Sus scrofa: one gene and its partner. The protein of the gene in region 2 purifies or fractionates together with the protein of the main gene of each other region. This does not show direct contact. Links are inferred from orthologs where the notes say so. Each region holds a gene or a part of one and is shown on either strand. Other genes may lie near its edges.

What was found. Proteins that work in one complex are often made in the same cells at the same time.
Region 1: the proteins of AMHR2 (region 2) and CDC37 purify together in Homo sapiens (co-immunoprecipitation; 3 studies listed by BioGRID and IntAct, with this or other methods). This does not show direct contact. The link is inferred for Sus scrofa from reciprocal best matches to the Homo sapiens genes AMHR2 and CDC37.

The regions. Positions count from the first base shown.
Region 1 is NC_010444.4:69,202,904-69,206,418, forward strand, and holds part of CDC37 (hsp90 co-chaperone Cdc37), read right to left. Parts: coding exon 3,489-3,515; intron 3,370-3,488; coding exon 3,254-3,369; intron 3,166-3,253; coding exon 3,043-3,165; intron 2,543-3,042; coding exon 2,360-2,542; intron 2,262-2,359; coding exon 2,190-2,261; intron 358-2,189; coding exon 202-357; 3' UTR 1-201. UniProt on the Homo sapiens protein: Co-chaperone that binds to numerous kinases and promotes their interaction with the Hsp90 complex, resulting in stabilization and promotion of their activity. Inhibits HSP90AA1 ATPase activity.
Region 2 is NC_010447.5:18,640,916-18,645,013, reverse strand, and holds the start of AMHR2 (anti-Muellerian hormone type-2 receptor), read right to left. Parts: upstream 2,802-4,098; 5' UTR 2,058-2,801; coding exon 2,006-2,057; exon of another isoform or gene 1,803-2,005; coding exon of another isoform or gene 1,754-1,802; coding exon 1,511-1,753; intron 1,280-1,510; coding exon 1,088-1,279; intron 822-1,087; coding exon 744-821; intron 588-743; coding exon 457-587; intron 342-456; coding exon 111-341; intron 1-110. UniProt on the Homo sapiens protein: On ligand binding, forms a receptor complex consisting of two type II and two type I transmembrane serine/threonine kinases.

The DNA.
Region 1 (3,515 bases), on a different chromosome or scaffold from region 2:
AGTGAAGCCCCTTGACTCAAAGCAGAGACTTGGATGAGCGCTGGGGGGCGGGGGCAGTGGAGGGGGTGAGCAGGTCCCTCCAGGCTAGGTCAAGGAGCAGCAAAAGTGGAGGAAGCCAGGAGCTGGGAAGATGGCATCTATTTGTTTTCTGAAAAGGGTTGCACAGGGGCCTGCAGGCAGGCAGGCGGTGCCTGGGGCAGGTCACGCGCTGACATCTTTCTCGTCACCCGACTTGGAGGCAGCTTCCAGCAAAGGGTCCCCAGGACCCGCCTCTTCCCCCTCCTTGGCCTCGCTAGACTTGGAGTTGGGGACCCAGAGGCCGGAGTCGATGCAGCGCTGCATGTGGTACTTCGCGTCCTGTGGGGAGAAGGGTGGGTAGGTGAGGCTGGGCTGCCACCTACTGGTGGCCTCTCTGTCCCCTGCACATCCTCAAGCCTGCTTCCTGCTTATTCTAGATCAGAGCTGTCCTCAGGCGTGGAATTGGTCTGTGAGTTGCGCCCTGCAACAGCGTAGCCTCCTGCCACACGTGGCTACCGAGTACTTCAAATGTGGCTGATGCAAGGGGAGGACAGAACTTTGTATTTTACCTAACTTTTTTTTTTGTCTTTTAGTCTTTGGAGGGCTGCACCCGCGGCATTTGGAGGTTCCCAGGCTAGGGGTCTAACTGGAGCTGTAGCTGCCAGCCTACACCACAGCCACAGGAATGCCAGATCTGAGCTGCGTCTGTGACCTACACCACAGTTCAAGGCAACGCCAGATCCTTAAACCACTTAGCGAGGCCAGGGATTGAACCCGCAACCTCATGGTTCCTAGTCGGATTCGTTAACCACTGAGCCACACTGGGAACTCCTGTATTTTACTTAACTTTAATTCAAGTTCATTTATTTTATTTATTTATTGTCTTTTTTTTTTTTTTGCTTTTTAGGGCCACAACCACAGCATATGGAAGTTTCCAGGCTAGTGGAGCTGGAGCTGCCAGCCCAGACCACAGCCACAGCAACACAGGATCCAAGCCATGTCTGCGACCTACACCACACCTCACGGCAACGCTGGATCCCTAACCCACTGAGCAAGGCCAGGGATTGATCCTGCGTCCTCATGGATGCTAGTCAGATTTGTTAACCGCTGAGCCATGATGGAAACTCCTATTTATTGTCTTTTTTTACATTTTTGTCCTCCATGTGTACCCGCGGCATATGGAAGTTCCCAGGCTAGGGATGGAATCAGAGCCACACATGCAGCCTACGCTGCAGCTTGCAGCAATGCTGGATCCTGAACCTACTGATAGAGGCCAGGGATCGAACCCGTGTCCTCAAGGATACTAGTCAGGTTCAACCCACTGAGCCACAACTCCGATTTTAATTCAAATTTAAACAGTGTAGGTCTAGAACAAAGGTCAGCAAACTTTTTTTTTGGCAGAGGGCCAGACAGTAAACTTGCAAACTACGTCGTCTCTGTTGAAACCTCTCAACCCAGAGCGCCTCAACTTTATGGTTAACGGCACAAAATCAGCCAGAGAGAAGATGAAAAGAAATGAGCTTGGTTGCTGCATGCCAATAAAATTTTATTTACAGACGGGCAGCAGGCCTGCAAGCCATAGTCTGAAGACCTTTAATCTAGATGCTCTTTCCCACAGAAACTTCTAGAAACCCTGGGCCAGGCCTTGTGATTTTTACCCATTTTACAGATGAGCAAACCAGTGTGGCCAACCAATGAGCCAAGCAGCAGGAATGGGGTCAAACCGAGGTCTAATAGACTCCAAGTACTTGAGCAACCAGTGCTATTACTGCTCCTGATAAGAGCCAACCTTTACCAGCTGGGGGCTCAGCGCCCCCTGGGGATTTTGTGAGAGAGAAACTGGTTTAACTGAGGCTCGGGGGGAGGGGGGAGTCCTCCTCCCTGGGCCACTTAGAGTTGCGAGTAAAGGTGAGGTCAGTTGGGTATGTTCATAAACATCCCAGGGTGACAGGGACACTCAATCTTGACACTGAGCACACAGCAGGTGCTCAATAAATGTGAGTGTGTGGCACTAAGGTTGGCTGCCTCATGTGCTGGCCACCTCGTGTGCTGGCCTCACAGGGACAAAAACTTCCATTATTTCTTTGAGAAGCCCAGGAGGTGACAGGGCTGGAGGGGGGCAGGGAGACACGGCTTCCCAGGCGGGGCCTAGCACCCTTGTAGTTACTCACGGTGGGGTCCATCTTGCTGATGGCGTCTTGGAGCATCTGAACGTCCTTCGCATCAAAGCATTTCTGGAGTTCCTGTGGGTACAGGGGATGGGGTCATGGCCTGGGTTCCCAGGACCCCAGGGGATTCTACTGGCCGCCCACTCGACCACCAGGGGCCAGGGAGACCGCACCTCAGGGAGGGACTCGTAGACCTCGACAGGGTCCAAGCCACCAGGCCCGAGCCGCTTCTTGCGTTCCTCCTCCTCATACTCCTTCATGGCCTTCTCAATGCGCAGCTTGGCGCGGCCCCGCACACGGTCTTTGAAGGCCTCCAGCTCGTCGTTGAAGCCCTCCATGTACTGCCGATCGGCTGTCTGCAGCAGGGAGCAGGGGTGTTCACGGGACCGGACTGGGGGAGCCTGGAATCCACCCCCCCGCCACGACCCCTGCAGGTCTTCAGAAATGCCCTGGGGCTCGCCATGTCTGTTGGGCACCATGGGGCTCAGGCCTCTCCTCTGCTCCATCTGGCCTCCTCCACCTTCTCTGAGCTCACTTTACTTCTCTATGCTGGAGACTTGCATGGCCTCTTGAACTGCAGACTCATGACACCCACCTCCTGTGTGTCCTCCCGTGGGGAGTTTTGCAGGCATCTCAAATTCAACACAGCCACCCCCGAGCTCTAGATCACCCCGTCAGACTGCCCTGCATCTGGTTCTCAAACTGCTGAGCCACAGCGGGAACTACTCTGATATAGGAGGTTCTGATCACAGGGGCTTGAGTCTGAGTGGACCCAGGTCTGCCTCCCCCAAGTGACTGCAGGCTGGTTCCCTGAGAAGGACCACCCCTGCTTTGCCTTGATCACTCAAGCCCTGACCTTGATCTTCGTGAAGAACTGCCGGAAGCAGGCACGGGGGTCCACCTTTAGGCTCTTGGCCAGCTCTAGGATGAACTGCATGACAATGGTCTGGTGGGCTACCTGCTCCATGAGTGCACATTTCTGCCAAGGGAGAAAACAGGCACAACGTCACCAAGTAGCGGACAGAGAGCAGAGCCTTCCCCCAGCCCGAGGGGTGGGCTCCACTCACCTCCTCTACCTCTAGGTCAATGCACCAGATGACCAAGTAGTTGGCGGTCTCCTCGCACACCAGGTGGACATTGTCTGACAAGTACTTCTGGCTGTCGTCCCAGCGGCGGAGCATGCCTGTGAGAAGGTATGGGCAAGGTGTTGGAAGGGCCCTGGAGGCAGAGGACCAGCCCTTGTCACAGGCGCCACCTACCTGGCCTCCCCCAACCCCCTGAGAGGCCTTGCGCCCAACTCACCAAAGTGCTTGATCTGTTTCTCATACT
Region 2 (4,098 bases):
AAGAAGAAATTTAAAGCAGAAGAATAAGCATGCACAGGACCTAGCTGTCATCCAGCACACACACACACACACACACACACACACACACGGATACATTCCTCAGTTCTCACCTTGGGGTGCAGTTCCAGTACCAGCAGGGGCCCACAGGGCAGGGGGCCAGGGCCGCCCCTGCTGGCGGTGATGAAACGGACAATGTGGTCATGCTGTAGGCCAGGCAGCTCGTACAGTGCTCTCTCAGCTTGGAACTGGGCCACAGCCTTCAGGGGGAAGGCCTTGATGGCTACCAGCTTGCCTTGCAGCTGCCCAGCCCACACCACTGTGTGATCTCCTTCCCGGATAACCTGATGCGGACACACACGCACGATGCTGGCGCCAGGTTTCAGCTAGTACCGGGCCAGGCTTCCTCCCCAGTATGCCCTCCGGGAGTGCCTAGAGGATCCCTCCCTCCCTGGGCACCTGGGAGAAGCAGAGCTCGGGCAGCTCGGGCAGCTCGGCACTCCAGTTCCTGCCTGAGTCTGGCTCTGGCTCTGGCTCTGGTTCTGGCTCTGGCCCACCTTGCACTCGGCAGGCCTTACGTTGTAGCAGGGCTGGGGCAGAGAAGAGCCTTAGGGTCAGGGTACTTGGGGATAGAGACTGGAAAGGGGGCTTTGTGGGAAGTAATAGGGGTCAGGGGAGCCTGGACAGGGGTCAGAGCTCTGGGGCAACGTCTTGGGGTCACAAGGGAGGGGTGGGCAGATTAGTACCCACGATGATGCTGCTCAGCAGCAGCAGGAGGAAGAGGAACAGCCCCAGCAGCACCTGTGCCATCCAGATGGACTCGCCTGTTAAAGCAAGAATGCAGGCGGGATGAGCCCTGCCCCAAATTATGCTCTCTGCTCCTCTCCCTCTCGTCAGAGATCTTGCTTCTCTACCCACCCCCACCCTGGTCACAAGCCCCCTTATCTCCCAGTCACCAGGGCAACCAACTTCTCAAGGCCAGGAGGAAGAAAGCTTGAGCCGGGGTTAGGGTGAGAATTGGCCCTGGTTCTACCTCTCATCCTAACCTGGGCCTCAGTCCCAACCTGGCTCCAGCACCCTGGGTAGCTACCTGGGACAGCCTGGGGACCCTGGGAAGCCGGAGTCCCAGGGCTCCCTGGAGGAGGCAGATGGCTGTAATTGGCATTGCAGAAGTCAGTGCCACAGGAGCAAGTGAAGAGAGTGGAGACGGGGCTGGGATGGGCTCGGGGGCTCGGGTCACAGTGGGGGGACTCACAGCCTGGCTCATCACTGTCTCGGCATCCTAGTGCGGTGGGATTGGGAGAAGAGGAGAGAAAGGGAGGGAGAGAGAGAGCACGCACAAGAGAGTATCATGGGGTCTGGGAAACCAGAGGGTGTCCCTTCTCTATCAGAGGCGTCCCTTCTACCTCCTGGGCTTTTCTTTCCCTCCACACAGTCCACCTCTCCTCTCCTCAGCAGCCACCCCCACCCAGGATGTGCCTCTCTCCCACCTGCCACATGCTGTGTTATTCACCTTGCATCTCCACCTGTGCCCGGTCTTGGGTCAGGTTCCAGATCCCAAAGCAGCAGTGGCTGTAGAGGCAGCGGATACCCCTGGGGGGCCCTGGTCCTGCATCTAGCAGCTTCCCCAGAGTCTTTGTGCTTCCCCGCACTCCAGGGGCCTCAAAGAACACACAGGTCCGCCTGCTTGGGGGTGCTGCGACCCAGGGTAAGGAGAGGGGAGGGTTCAAGATGGGAGTGAATGCGGGGGCCAAAACTGCATCCAAAGGAGAGACAAAACATGTTTTATATCCCAGGGCCAGCATGGTAAAGCCACAGGAGGACCCAGGGTCCGCAGAAGCCTGGAACCTGACCCCCCCACCCTACATACACAGGGACACGTGGCTGTACCCTTCACCGTCACTCACCCACCCTACTCACCACTCTTCCAAAGGGGTGGCTGCTGCTTCAAATGCCTCCTTCCTCAGCGGGTAGATGGAAAGACCCTGCTCTCCCTGTAGACACTTACCTTGCACTGTTGCTGGAAGCAGTGCCCAAAGTCCCAGAGTCCCCAGCATCATGCTGAAGCAGTGAGAGGCACAGAGCCAGAGCCAGCACAGCTGCCCCTGGCCAGGGCTTCCTCCAGACACAGGGCACCGTGGGGCTTCCGAGCCCTCAGTCCCCAACTCCGCCCCCCTCCCTCTTCCCAGTCTCTGTGGGGGAGAGGATGGGTGTGGGGAAAAGCAGGGAGAGAGAGGGAGGAGCAGAGAACCAATCTCATATCCTCCTCTCTTCAGCCACCTCCGCTTTTCTCTGCAAAGCAGGAGGAGGGGGCCTTGGAGGCCCTGCTGAGAACCCAGTGGTGCCTAACTTCAAACCTGGGCCCTTTGCTGACCCTGGGAAAGAGTGCTGGATCCTGTCAGCCCTTCCTAGGCTGGAAACCAAAGTGAGGTCAAGGGCTCGGAACCATTCAGCTGTGCCCAAGAGCTTGTCTAGCCCTTTTTTTGGGGCTCAGATCTGCCGTTCCCTGGGCACAGAATGGCCCACACTAGAGTTGACCTCATTTTCCAAACTCAAGAGTCAGAAAAGCAGTTGTATAAAATTACTCAGAGTTTTTAAAAAGTCACATTGAAAATAGGTATGATGGTGAATTTTATGTTGCCAAATTTCCAAAACTGACATTGAGTCACACACTAAACAAATCACCATTATTGAGAAGGTAACAACAATTTTTTTAGGAGTTCCCGTTGTGGTGCAGTGGTTAACAAATCCGACTAGGAACCATGAGGTTGCGGGTTCGGTCCCTGCCCTTGCTCAGTGGGTTAACGATCCGGCGTTGCCGTGAGCTGTGGTGTAGGTTGCAGACGCAGCTTGGATCCTGCGTTGCTGTGGCTCTGGCGTAGGCCAGCGGCTACAGCTCTGATTCAACCCCTAGCCTGGGAACCTCCATATGCCGCGGGAGCGGCCCAAGAAATGGCAAAAAAAAAAAAAAAAAAAAAAAAAAAAATTTGTTTTAGCCACATCCACAGCAGGGAGAAGTTCCTGGGCCAGCCAGGACCAAACCCAAGCCACAGAAACAACCCAGGCTACTGCAGTGACAACGTCAGGTACTTAACCCACTGAGCCACACGGGAACTCCAGTAACAAAATTTTATTGAACACCTATGTGCTAGGGCACCACAGGGAAATGAATTTTACAATAATCTCATCGAATTCGCTCATTGAGCTATTTATTATCATCTTCACTTCATAGGCAAGAAGGCTGAGTTTAGGTAACTTGCCCAAGGTCACTGCTAGGAAGCAGCACAGCTAGGATTTGACCCTAGTAAGTCTGACTCTAAAGCCCAGGTCCTGTTCTTTGCCGCATGCCATGATGCTTGAAAGAAACTCAAAATTTGGCAAGAAAAAGTATTCCCATTTTACACAGTATTTGAATATTTGAATAAGGATTGAGAAAAAAGTGTACCAATACCTGCCAGAACTAACCAGAAAAAGAGTAAGAGGGTACAGTTCAAACTATCACCACCAGAGGTCAGCAGACACACTGAGGGGGCAGAAAGGGCCTCCTCTGAGGACTAATGGCCATAGCACATCTCCAATATCTCTCAAGCTGCAGGAACTATAAAATGCGAAGGGAGGGCACAGGATGTGTAGAGGGAATGTCAGCATGGAGATGGAAGGAGAGAGGTCTATAGCTTGTGCTGCAATTGAAAGACTGGAGTCCAGCTCCTCCAGACGACTGCCCAGAATAAGAAACTACAGTGACTGGTCATTTCCACACCTGGGAGCAGCCTGCTCCCATGGGAATTAGAGCCAGAGGAGACCAGTTCCCTGTTTCCCTAGCTTCTGTTCCCCTGGTGGCTGCCTGGATACCCTTTCTGGGAATGGTCTGGCCTAGATCAGTTATGAGAGTCTGAGTCCTCTTCGACCCTGGAGCCTTTCTCTTGGGAGGCTTGCATGAAAGAAGGAGGGAATAAAAGCTCCACAGTGTGAAGTAGCAGCTAGAGGAATGATTGGAGCTATGGACAGACGGATAGCTGCCCATCCCTACCTGGGCCCTTTGAGGAGTCCAGAGGTAGCATGTCGTCCTTAGTTACAGCTATTTTCCTTCATCAGTTCCAG